Canis lupus familiaris: one gene and its partner. The protein of the gene in region 1 interacts with the protein of each later gene in a biochemical or structural test. Links are inferred from orthologs where the notes say so. Each region holds a gene or a part of one and is shown in the gene's direction. Other genes may lie near its edges.

Region 1 (4,084 bases):
CGGTGCTCGCGCGCTCTTGGGCCGCGGCCTGCAGCGCCCGGTGCTCTGCAGCGCGCGGCGTCCGCGGGTTCCCTGGTGACCGCGCCCTCAGCCACGCCCCGGGAAGCGGGATTCCGAGCCGCGTCCCACGCCCCCGCGACGCGGAGACTGCACAAGGCGGCAGGGCCCCGCGCCCAAAGCCCAGGCGGACGAACGGAGTCGCCAGCGACAGCGGAGCCGCCCTCGCGCCCGTGGCTCCGCCCCGGACCCCGCCTGCCTCCCGGGCCCCGCCTCCTCGGGCACGTGCACCTGCCACGCCGCAGCCCCGGGCGTAACCTGCGCCTCGCACCACGGACCCAACAGGGAAGAGAAGGGCTTGCTCCCGGGAGCGGCGCGGGCCGAGGGAGAGGCAGGCGCTTCGCAGGAGCCCGATGTGGGACGCGATCCGGGGACCCCGGGGTCACGCCCCGAGCCAAGGGTAGGTCGACCTTCAACCGCTGAGCCACCCGGGCGTCCCAAGGCTGAGGTGTTGTGATTGGCTCCTCTGGGTCATGTGTCCATCGCGAAGCATGACGTATTGTGATTGGCCTGCCTGGGTCATGTGCCCATCGTGGAGGATGAGGTATTGTGATTGGCTCCTCTGGGTCATGTGTCCATCAAGGATGATGTATTGTGATTGGCCCGCCTGGGTCACGTGTCCATCGTGAAGGATGACGTATAGTGATTGGCCCGCCTGGGCCACGTGTCCATCAGGGTGATGTATTGTGATTGACCCGCCTGGGTCACGTGTGCATCGTGAAGGCTGACGTATGTGATTGGCCCGCCTGGGTCACGTGTCTATCGTGAAGGATGACGTATGTGATTGGCCCGCCTGGGTCACGTGCCCATCGTGAAGGATGACGTATAGTGATTGGCCCGCCTGGGCCACGTGCCCGCTGGCCTCGGCGTGGGTGGGAAGCGTCTGGGGCTGCGGGGCTGCCGGAGGCCGCTGGCGGCTGGAGGCGCCCGGTCCCCGCGCGGGTCGCCGTGGGTGTGGACCGCGTGCGCCTCCCCTCCCCGCGCCTGGGACTCGCACTGCCGGCCGCTGTGCGTGCGTCGCAGCCCGGCTGCCCTGGCTCCTCGGGCCGAGGGGTCCCTGCTCCGCGCTCCCGGGCCTGTGCGGCTTCCTTCGGCGAGGCCGGCCCGGCGCCGCCACGCGGTGTAGCCCGAGGCCGGGGGCGCCGGGGGCTCAGCCGGGGCCTGGGCCGGGGCCTGGGCCGGGGCGGCGGCCTGGAGCTTCTGTGCTTCCTTCCCCAGGGCTGAGCGCGCGGCTGCCGTGCCCTCGGGGGCCCTCCGACTGCGGGAAGCGCTGCGAGCCCGACTACTACCTGGACCGGGACGGCCGCTGCAAGGCCTGTGTGAGCTGCTCTGGAGGTGAGGGCGGCGCCGGCGGCCTCGGGGGGTGGGGTGGGGGTGGGGGGTTGGGTTTTAGTTTTTTAAAGATTTCACTTATTCATTCACGAGAGACAGAGAGAGGCAGAGACCCAGGCAGAGGGAGACGCAGGCTCCACGCAGGAGCCCGACGCGGGATCCCGGGACCCCGGGGTCCCGCCCTGGGCCAGAGGCAGGCGCTAAACCGCTGCGCCACCCGGGGATCCCCTATGCATCCTTTTTAAAAAGTGTTTATTTGAGGAATCTCCACACCCAGCGTGGGGCTCGAACTCACAACCCTGAGCTCAAGGCTCACATGCTCTGTGGACTGAGCCAGCTAAGTTCCCCGAAGTAACCTAGCTTTTTGCATTCTTGTTTATCCTTTGTCACCTTCCCAAAGGTTGACATCTGAGATGGATGCGTAAAATCCACCTCCCCTGTGCTTGTTTTCCATCAGGTTTTCACTGGGTTCTACTTATTTTTGCTCTCTGATGTCAGAGCTATGTTATTAGGTGTGATGTTCGGGAATACTGTGTTTCCTTGGTGGCTTAGACCTTTCATCAGCATGAAATTATCTCTTTGTTCCTTACAGTGTTTGCCTTAATTCCATTTTTGCTTGATATTTTTTTTTTTTTTTTTTTTTTTTTACTTATGATAGTCACACAGAGAGAGAGAGAGAGAGAGGCAGAGACACAGGCAGAGGGAGAAGCAGGCTCCATGCAGCGGGAGCCCGATGTGGGATTCGATCCCGGGTCTCCAGGATCACGCCCTGGGCCAAAGGCAGGCGCTAAACCGCTGCGCCACCCAGGGATCCCCATTTTTGCTTGATATTAACATTGCCATTCTTCTTCATCCGTATTAGCGTTTCTCTGGTATATCTTTAAGTTTTTAAGACTTATGACTGCTTTGTATTAAATGAGAGTTTCAGACGTTCATTATGAAACATTCAAGCACATCAAGAGATGTGAGGAAGAATGCCACCTCTGCCCCTTCCCCCCTGGTTGGATGTCTGACCGACACTTTTCTGTATCTCTATATAGAGGGGGGAAGAATGGGAAGGGTCGACAGCCATACACACGTGCAGAAAAGAGATTTTAAAAAATATTTTTATTTATTTATTTGGGAGGGAGAGAGTGTGTACACACGAGAGGCGAGGAGGGGCAGAAGGAGAGGGAGAAGCAGAGCCCTGCTGAGTAGGGAGCCTGAGATCATGACCTGTACTGAAGGTAGATGCTTATGCTTCGAGAAAAGGGATTTTTATTTATTTTTATTATTTATTTATTAAAAAAAAAGATTTATGTATTTATTCATAGAGACAATGAGGAGAGAGAGAGAGAGAGAGAGAGAGGCAGAGACGCAGGCAGAGGGAGAAGCAGGCTCCATGCAGGGAGCCTGACGTGGGACTCGATCCCAGGTCTCCAGGATCATACCCTGGGCTGAAGGCGGCGCTAAACCGCTGAGCCACCGGGACTTCCCGAAAAGGGATTTTTAAAGAGGATGGGAACGTACTGTTCATGATGTTCAAGTGATTACATTTGATTTTATTCAAGTGTGTCAGAGGAAGAAGAAACTAAAGTGAAAATAATCACAAGAGAGCAGTTTCTAAAAACAAAACAAAACAAAGAAAACCCTGTAAAATTAAGAGGTTATGAAAATCAAGAAGTAGTTGGAAGTCCTTAAAAGAATAAAACTCTCTTGTGGTAAAATCTCGTTCTGCTTGTTTCAGTTTTTGGATAGGACAGAGTAAATTGGCTTCCTGTAATGAAAAGTTAAGTAATTAGCTTGCTGCCTCCCTGTCCTCTTCCTGACTTTTATTGCTTACTTTTTTTTTTTTTTACTCTGTTATTGCCTGTGGTGTTTATATTTTCTGTAACCCTCAGTCCCTTGGCTGTTAGCTTTGCTTTGCTATTTAAACTTATTCATTGTGCACCCTGAGTACATTGACGACAGTTTCTCTGTTCCTGAAATTTTCATTTTGATTTATCACTTGTTTGGTTAGATTTCACTGACCTGTGGATTTTTCAGGAAGGATTCATCTTTGCACATCCCTCAGGGGATTCTTTCATGTTTGGGAATGTTTCTTGCCTGTATGCTCGAATGACAACTTGGGCAGGTATATGATTATTCCTGAAACCTGTTTTCTCTAGAGCTTTATAGGCATTGGTGCTTTGTCTTCATATGGTGAATATTGCTGTGGAGGAGTCTGCTATCCGCCTTGTTTTTGCCCCTTTGTAGATGACCGCAAGAATAATCTTTATCTTCAGAGCTCAAAATTTACCAGAATATGCCTTGAGATGAATTATTTGGAAAGGATTCTTCCTGGTACCTGGAATGTCTTATTTTGTCTTTTTTAAAAAAGTTTTTATTTATTTAAGTTATCTCTGTGCCCAACATGGGGCTTGAACCCACGACTCTGAGATCAAGAGTCTCATGTTCCACAGACTGAGGCAGCCAGATGCCCCTGGAATGTCTTTTCTATCTGCAGTTTAGTTTTTTTCATTTTAGGGAAACTGACCTGGATTTTTATTTCTACTAAATATATATCTCAATGTCAACTTTACGGGCGCCAATTATCCCTTATGTTTGTGTTTGCCTTTCCTCCCTGTCTTCTTTTTTTTTTTTTTTTAAGATTTTATTTATTTATTTGAGAAAGAGAGAGAGAGAGAGCACAAGCAGGGGGGTAGGAGCAGAGGGA
Region 2 (4,111 bases), on another chromosome or scaffold:
ACACGGTGGATGGCAGAACCTGAGTCTCAAGTCAGCCACTTGCAAGTGATTTTAGACCAGAAAGAGAATGAAAACATACATCCTAGAGAGATTCTATTGAGTTCTCAACTTGCCTGCTTTGATGAAGCAAGTTGCCATGTGAGAGAGGCCAGTGTGGTAAGGGACTGAGAGTAGCCCCTCCGGTCAACACCTAGTGAGGAACTGAGATACTCACTCAAACAGCCACAAAGAACTGAAAACTGCCAACAACTACTTAGTGTGCTTGAAAGTGAATCCTTTCCCCGTGCAACCTTCAGAGAAGATGACAGGTCCTGGATTGACACCTTGATTGCAGCTTTGTGAGAGACTATGAAGCAAAGGAGCCGGCTAAGCTGTGCCTGGATTCCTGACCCACAGCAACTGTGAGCTAATAAATGTGTATTTAAAAAAAAAAGGAAAGAAAAGAAGAAAAAAAAAAGCATGAGCCGTCCTCATGCTCTCTGAGCCTCAATATTGCCATGTGTGAAAAGCCAGTGTTAGGTGCATCAGAGGGCAGAGGGGAGGGTGGAGTGAGGCAAGGTGTGAAGCGCACCTGGCACTAGCACTGTGCCTGAGATCGCAGAGCTTCGGCTGCAATAGTCTCTCTCTCTCTCTCTCACACACACACACACACACACCATGCATAAGACACACAACACACGCCACACATCACGTAGGTGCACCACACACGAGCATACCATACGCCCACCATGCACACGCCCACAGAACACACCCCCCACGCTCTGCACCAGGCTGCTTCCCCACCCCCATCACCACCGCCACCGCCAGTCCCTTCCCTTTTCTGCAACTGGGCAGGCGAGCCCAGGTTTATCTGCGGGGCTGACCCCTCCCAATAGGGCCGGCAGGAATTTTTGTTGAAAAGATCAACGTTTCCAGATTCCTACTCTCTTGACATTTGCCCCCACGTCTCCTACTGCGGTGGGCTCGCCCCCTTTGGCCCCATGGCCATGCTTGTGGGCGCTTCCTTCCCAGGCAGCTGGAACGATCTCCAGTTTCCAGCAGGAGCTGATTCTGATCAAACCAAACCCTCTGGAGTCATCACAGCCCAGTGCGAGGGCGCCAGCTTCCCGGAGGCCCAGCACAGAGACATTTTCTGACGAGGTCCTCTGAGCTGCAGGCCTCGCTGAAGAGAAGATGCGGCTTCTCAAGCAGGAAGGCGTTTTGTGGCTGAGTCTAAGTGAAACAGAAGTCGCTTTGTGCACTCTCTCTCTCTCTCACTCACTACACACACACACACACACACACACACACCCCAGAGTAGGGAAACCGTCATTTTCCTTCTCGCCCTCTGACATCAACCACCTTCTCTGTAGCTACAGTTTCTCTGCCCTCAAATTCATCCCTGGCAATGAAAAATGAGCCTCTCCCCCACCCTTGCTGCTGTCTTTCGCCTCACGCCCCCAGAGAAGAGTTTCTTCGTGTGGCAGCTGGTGAAGGTTTTTTTCCACGTCACATGATCCAGGATGCAGGGGGAGAATCCTTCTTGGAACAGAGATGGGCTCAGAACTGAATCAGATGAGGAGAGATAAGGTGTGCTGTGGGAAGACTATATAAGAATGGACCCAGGGCTGCAGCAAGCACTCAACCGAATGGCCCCTTCTCAAGACACAGCCATGCATGTGCCAGCAGGCTCTGTCGCCAGCCACTTGGGAACCACAAGCCGTGGTTATTTCTACTTCACCACCACGGCGCTGGCTCTGTGTCTCATCTTTGCTGTGGCAACCATCATGATGTTGGTAGTTCAGAAGACGGTAAGTGGACTTCTGGTCACCTTTTTTCTGATTTGCGTTCAGTGTTCCCCAGAGAGAAAGGCTTGAGAAAAAAACAAAAAGTAGCTGAGAAGAAGAAAAAGAAGAAGAAGAAGAAAGAAAAAACCAACATCTGGTACATATATCATGTAGAAAGAGGGAGAAAAGAAACAGGAACTCAACTCTCTGAAATAATTTGGCTTTTAAGAGAAAATATGTTCAGCAGTCACCTCAAAAGTTTGCAGACTCACATGGGCCAGAAGAAGAGACAGGAGCTATTAGTATTAAGAAATTAAGATTTAAATTTTTTGCTGGGCCAGAGATGTGTATCTGAGAAGGAAGTGATAAGGAAATCTGATAACAGATTCACACGACTTGTTACCATGTCTTCTTCAAGGTTCTCTATTCTCAGTTCAAACAGTGTTGAGTTCTCCGGGGCCTCCTCTGTTGCCAAGAGCTTTCTCAACAAGGAGCTAGGTTTCAGTGACCCAGGTGTATACGAGAAGGAGCAAGACAGGAGACCAGGCTTAGGTCCTTAGAGCTAATTAAAGCCTACAAGGCAAGTGGAGGCTTCCTCCTGAGCCACTGCTTGGAAGAGTTTAGGATGTCACGAGAAACCCAGAGCACGAGGGCAGAACATAGAAATATTTGTAATGCCTGTTGCCTCTGAGACTGCTCAGAATACTAAAGCTACAAGCAACTATGGGTACCCACTGTAGAGGCAAACATCTCAGGAAATTGGCTTTGTTTGGAGGAAATGGTAAGATTTGTTGCAAAAACAGAAGAGACAAAGGAGGACACTTCTTCATATTTTAGGAAATTGGTGTTTACAGAGAATCTGGCCAGTGTGCATTTTGTAGAAAATACCATATTGGTGGTATATTTCGCTCATGCGTTTTTTGAATGAAGAGAAGTTTTTGTTATTTTGGTAATTTGAGAACTTGATCCCCCTCGTGCCCTGCCCTGCCAAGGTGAGAATGTTTCTACTTATTCTTTCAGAGCTCCCGTTTTTCTTACAATCCTGCAAGATTTCCGTTTCCCTGCAGTTGTCTTAGGTTGAATGTTCTATACCTCATGGATTGGTGAATGGAACTAGGCTTTAAGAGATTTGGGTATCTGTTTCTCAAGGGTCACCAGCTTTGAAGTTTAAATGAAGCTTTGAGGCTCATACCTCCATAAAAGTGAAAGAAAACAGAGTTACTAACATTTGATTTAGATCGTAAGGTTTATAAAATGCATCCTTGAATGAGTTCATCCATGTATACTAAGAATAATACTTTTGGAAATATTCTAGGGCATTTTTTTTTTTTGGTAGAGGCTAGATCATTTCTGTAATTCTAATTTGAAGTAAACCAGAAGTATATCATTTTATAGCAATGGCCAAAGAAAAGAAACTGAAGTGGTCTTTAAGAAGTTTCTTTAGTTAAATGTTGCATCTAGAACTACTAGGAAAGAGAAGGAAGGAAGGAAAGGGAAAGAAAATGAAAGGAAAGAAGAAGGGAAGGAAGGTATTGGGGGTGATGGTGAACTCTAAAGCTGGAGAGAGCTCTAGAAGTGTCCTTATGCAATTCCATTCTTTCCAGAAAGGAACTAGAGTGGATCTTTCTGGCCCATTTTTGTATGTGTGGAAAAGCAGGAACAGAAAGGAGAAGGGGCTTGAACTAAGTCATCCTGAGAAAGTGATAGAGTCAAGACTGTGCTCGATTGTTTAATGAGAACAACACTCCCTTTACCTATCAGCCAGCCACAGAAACACTTAGAAATTTTGTTCCTGCTCCTCTTTCGGGAGCTTTATCTTCTTGCGCATCCATTTCCTTGACTCACTTCTCATATGAGGATATGAAAAGATTCACTTCACAATCTGATTATATGGTTTGGTGGGCTGTGGTTTCTTTAGTCTGGGAGATATCAGTTACTTGCTTAAAAGCTAAGGCTTGTCATACTAATTGTGATATTAAATGTGCAGTGTTTTATACTGCACAATAAACTATCATTTCCAATAAATTATTCAGACATTAACTGTCCTAAGAGCTAAGAAGAGTTATCCCCTTGGGTTATCAAGGAAGGCTTTCTGCAGGAAGAGGGAATGCAGGCTGACATTAGGAATTTAGATAAAAGGAAAGACTCTAATAACAGGACCCCTGGTAAAGAAATCAATGGGATAGGCCTGAGAAACTTAAACTCACATCCCAACTATCAAAAAATGGAATGGGTCGGCGGCTACATAGCACTCTGTGTGAGGTTGGAAGGGGGCAGGGATAGAGTACCATGAGAATGGTTTTACAGCCTAAGAAGTCACAGTTCTAGGTAAGAAGCACATGAAC

What was found.
Region 2: the proteins of TNFRSF8 (region 1) and TNFSF8 form a complex in vitro, tested with the Homo sapiens proteins (2 studies listed by BioGRID and IntAct). The link is inferred for Canis lupus familiaris from reciprocal best matches to the Homo sapiens genes TNFRSF8 and TNFSF8.

What each region holds. Positions count from the first base shown.
Region 1 is NC_049223.1:83,699,178-83,703,261, reverse strand, and holds the start of TNFRSF8 (tumor necrosis factor receptor superfamily member 8), read left to right. Parts: upstream 1-1,241; 5' UTR 1,242-1,392; intron 1,393-4,084. UniProt on the Homo sapiens protein: Receptor for TNFSF8/CD30L. May play a role in the regulation of cellular growth and transformation of activated lymphoblasts. Regulates gene expression through activation of NF-kappa-B.
Region 2 is NC_049232.1:69,414,049-69,418,159, reverse strand, and holds the start of TNFSF8 (tumor necrosis factor ligand superfamily member 8), read left to right. Parts: upstream 1-1,268; 5' UTR 1,269-1,595; coding exon 1,596-1,790; intron 1,791-4,111.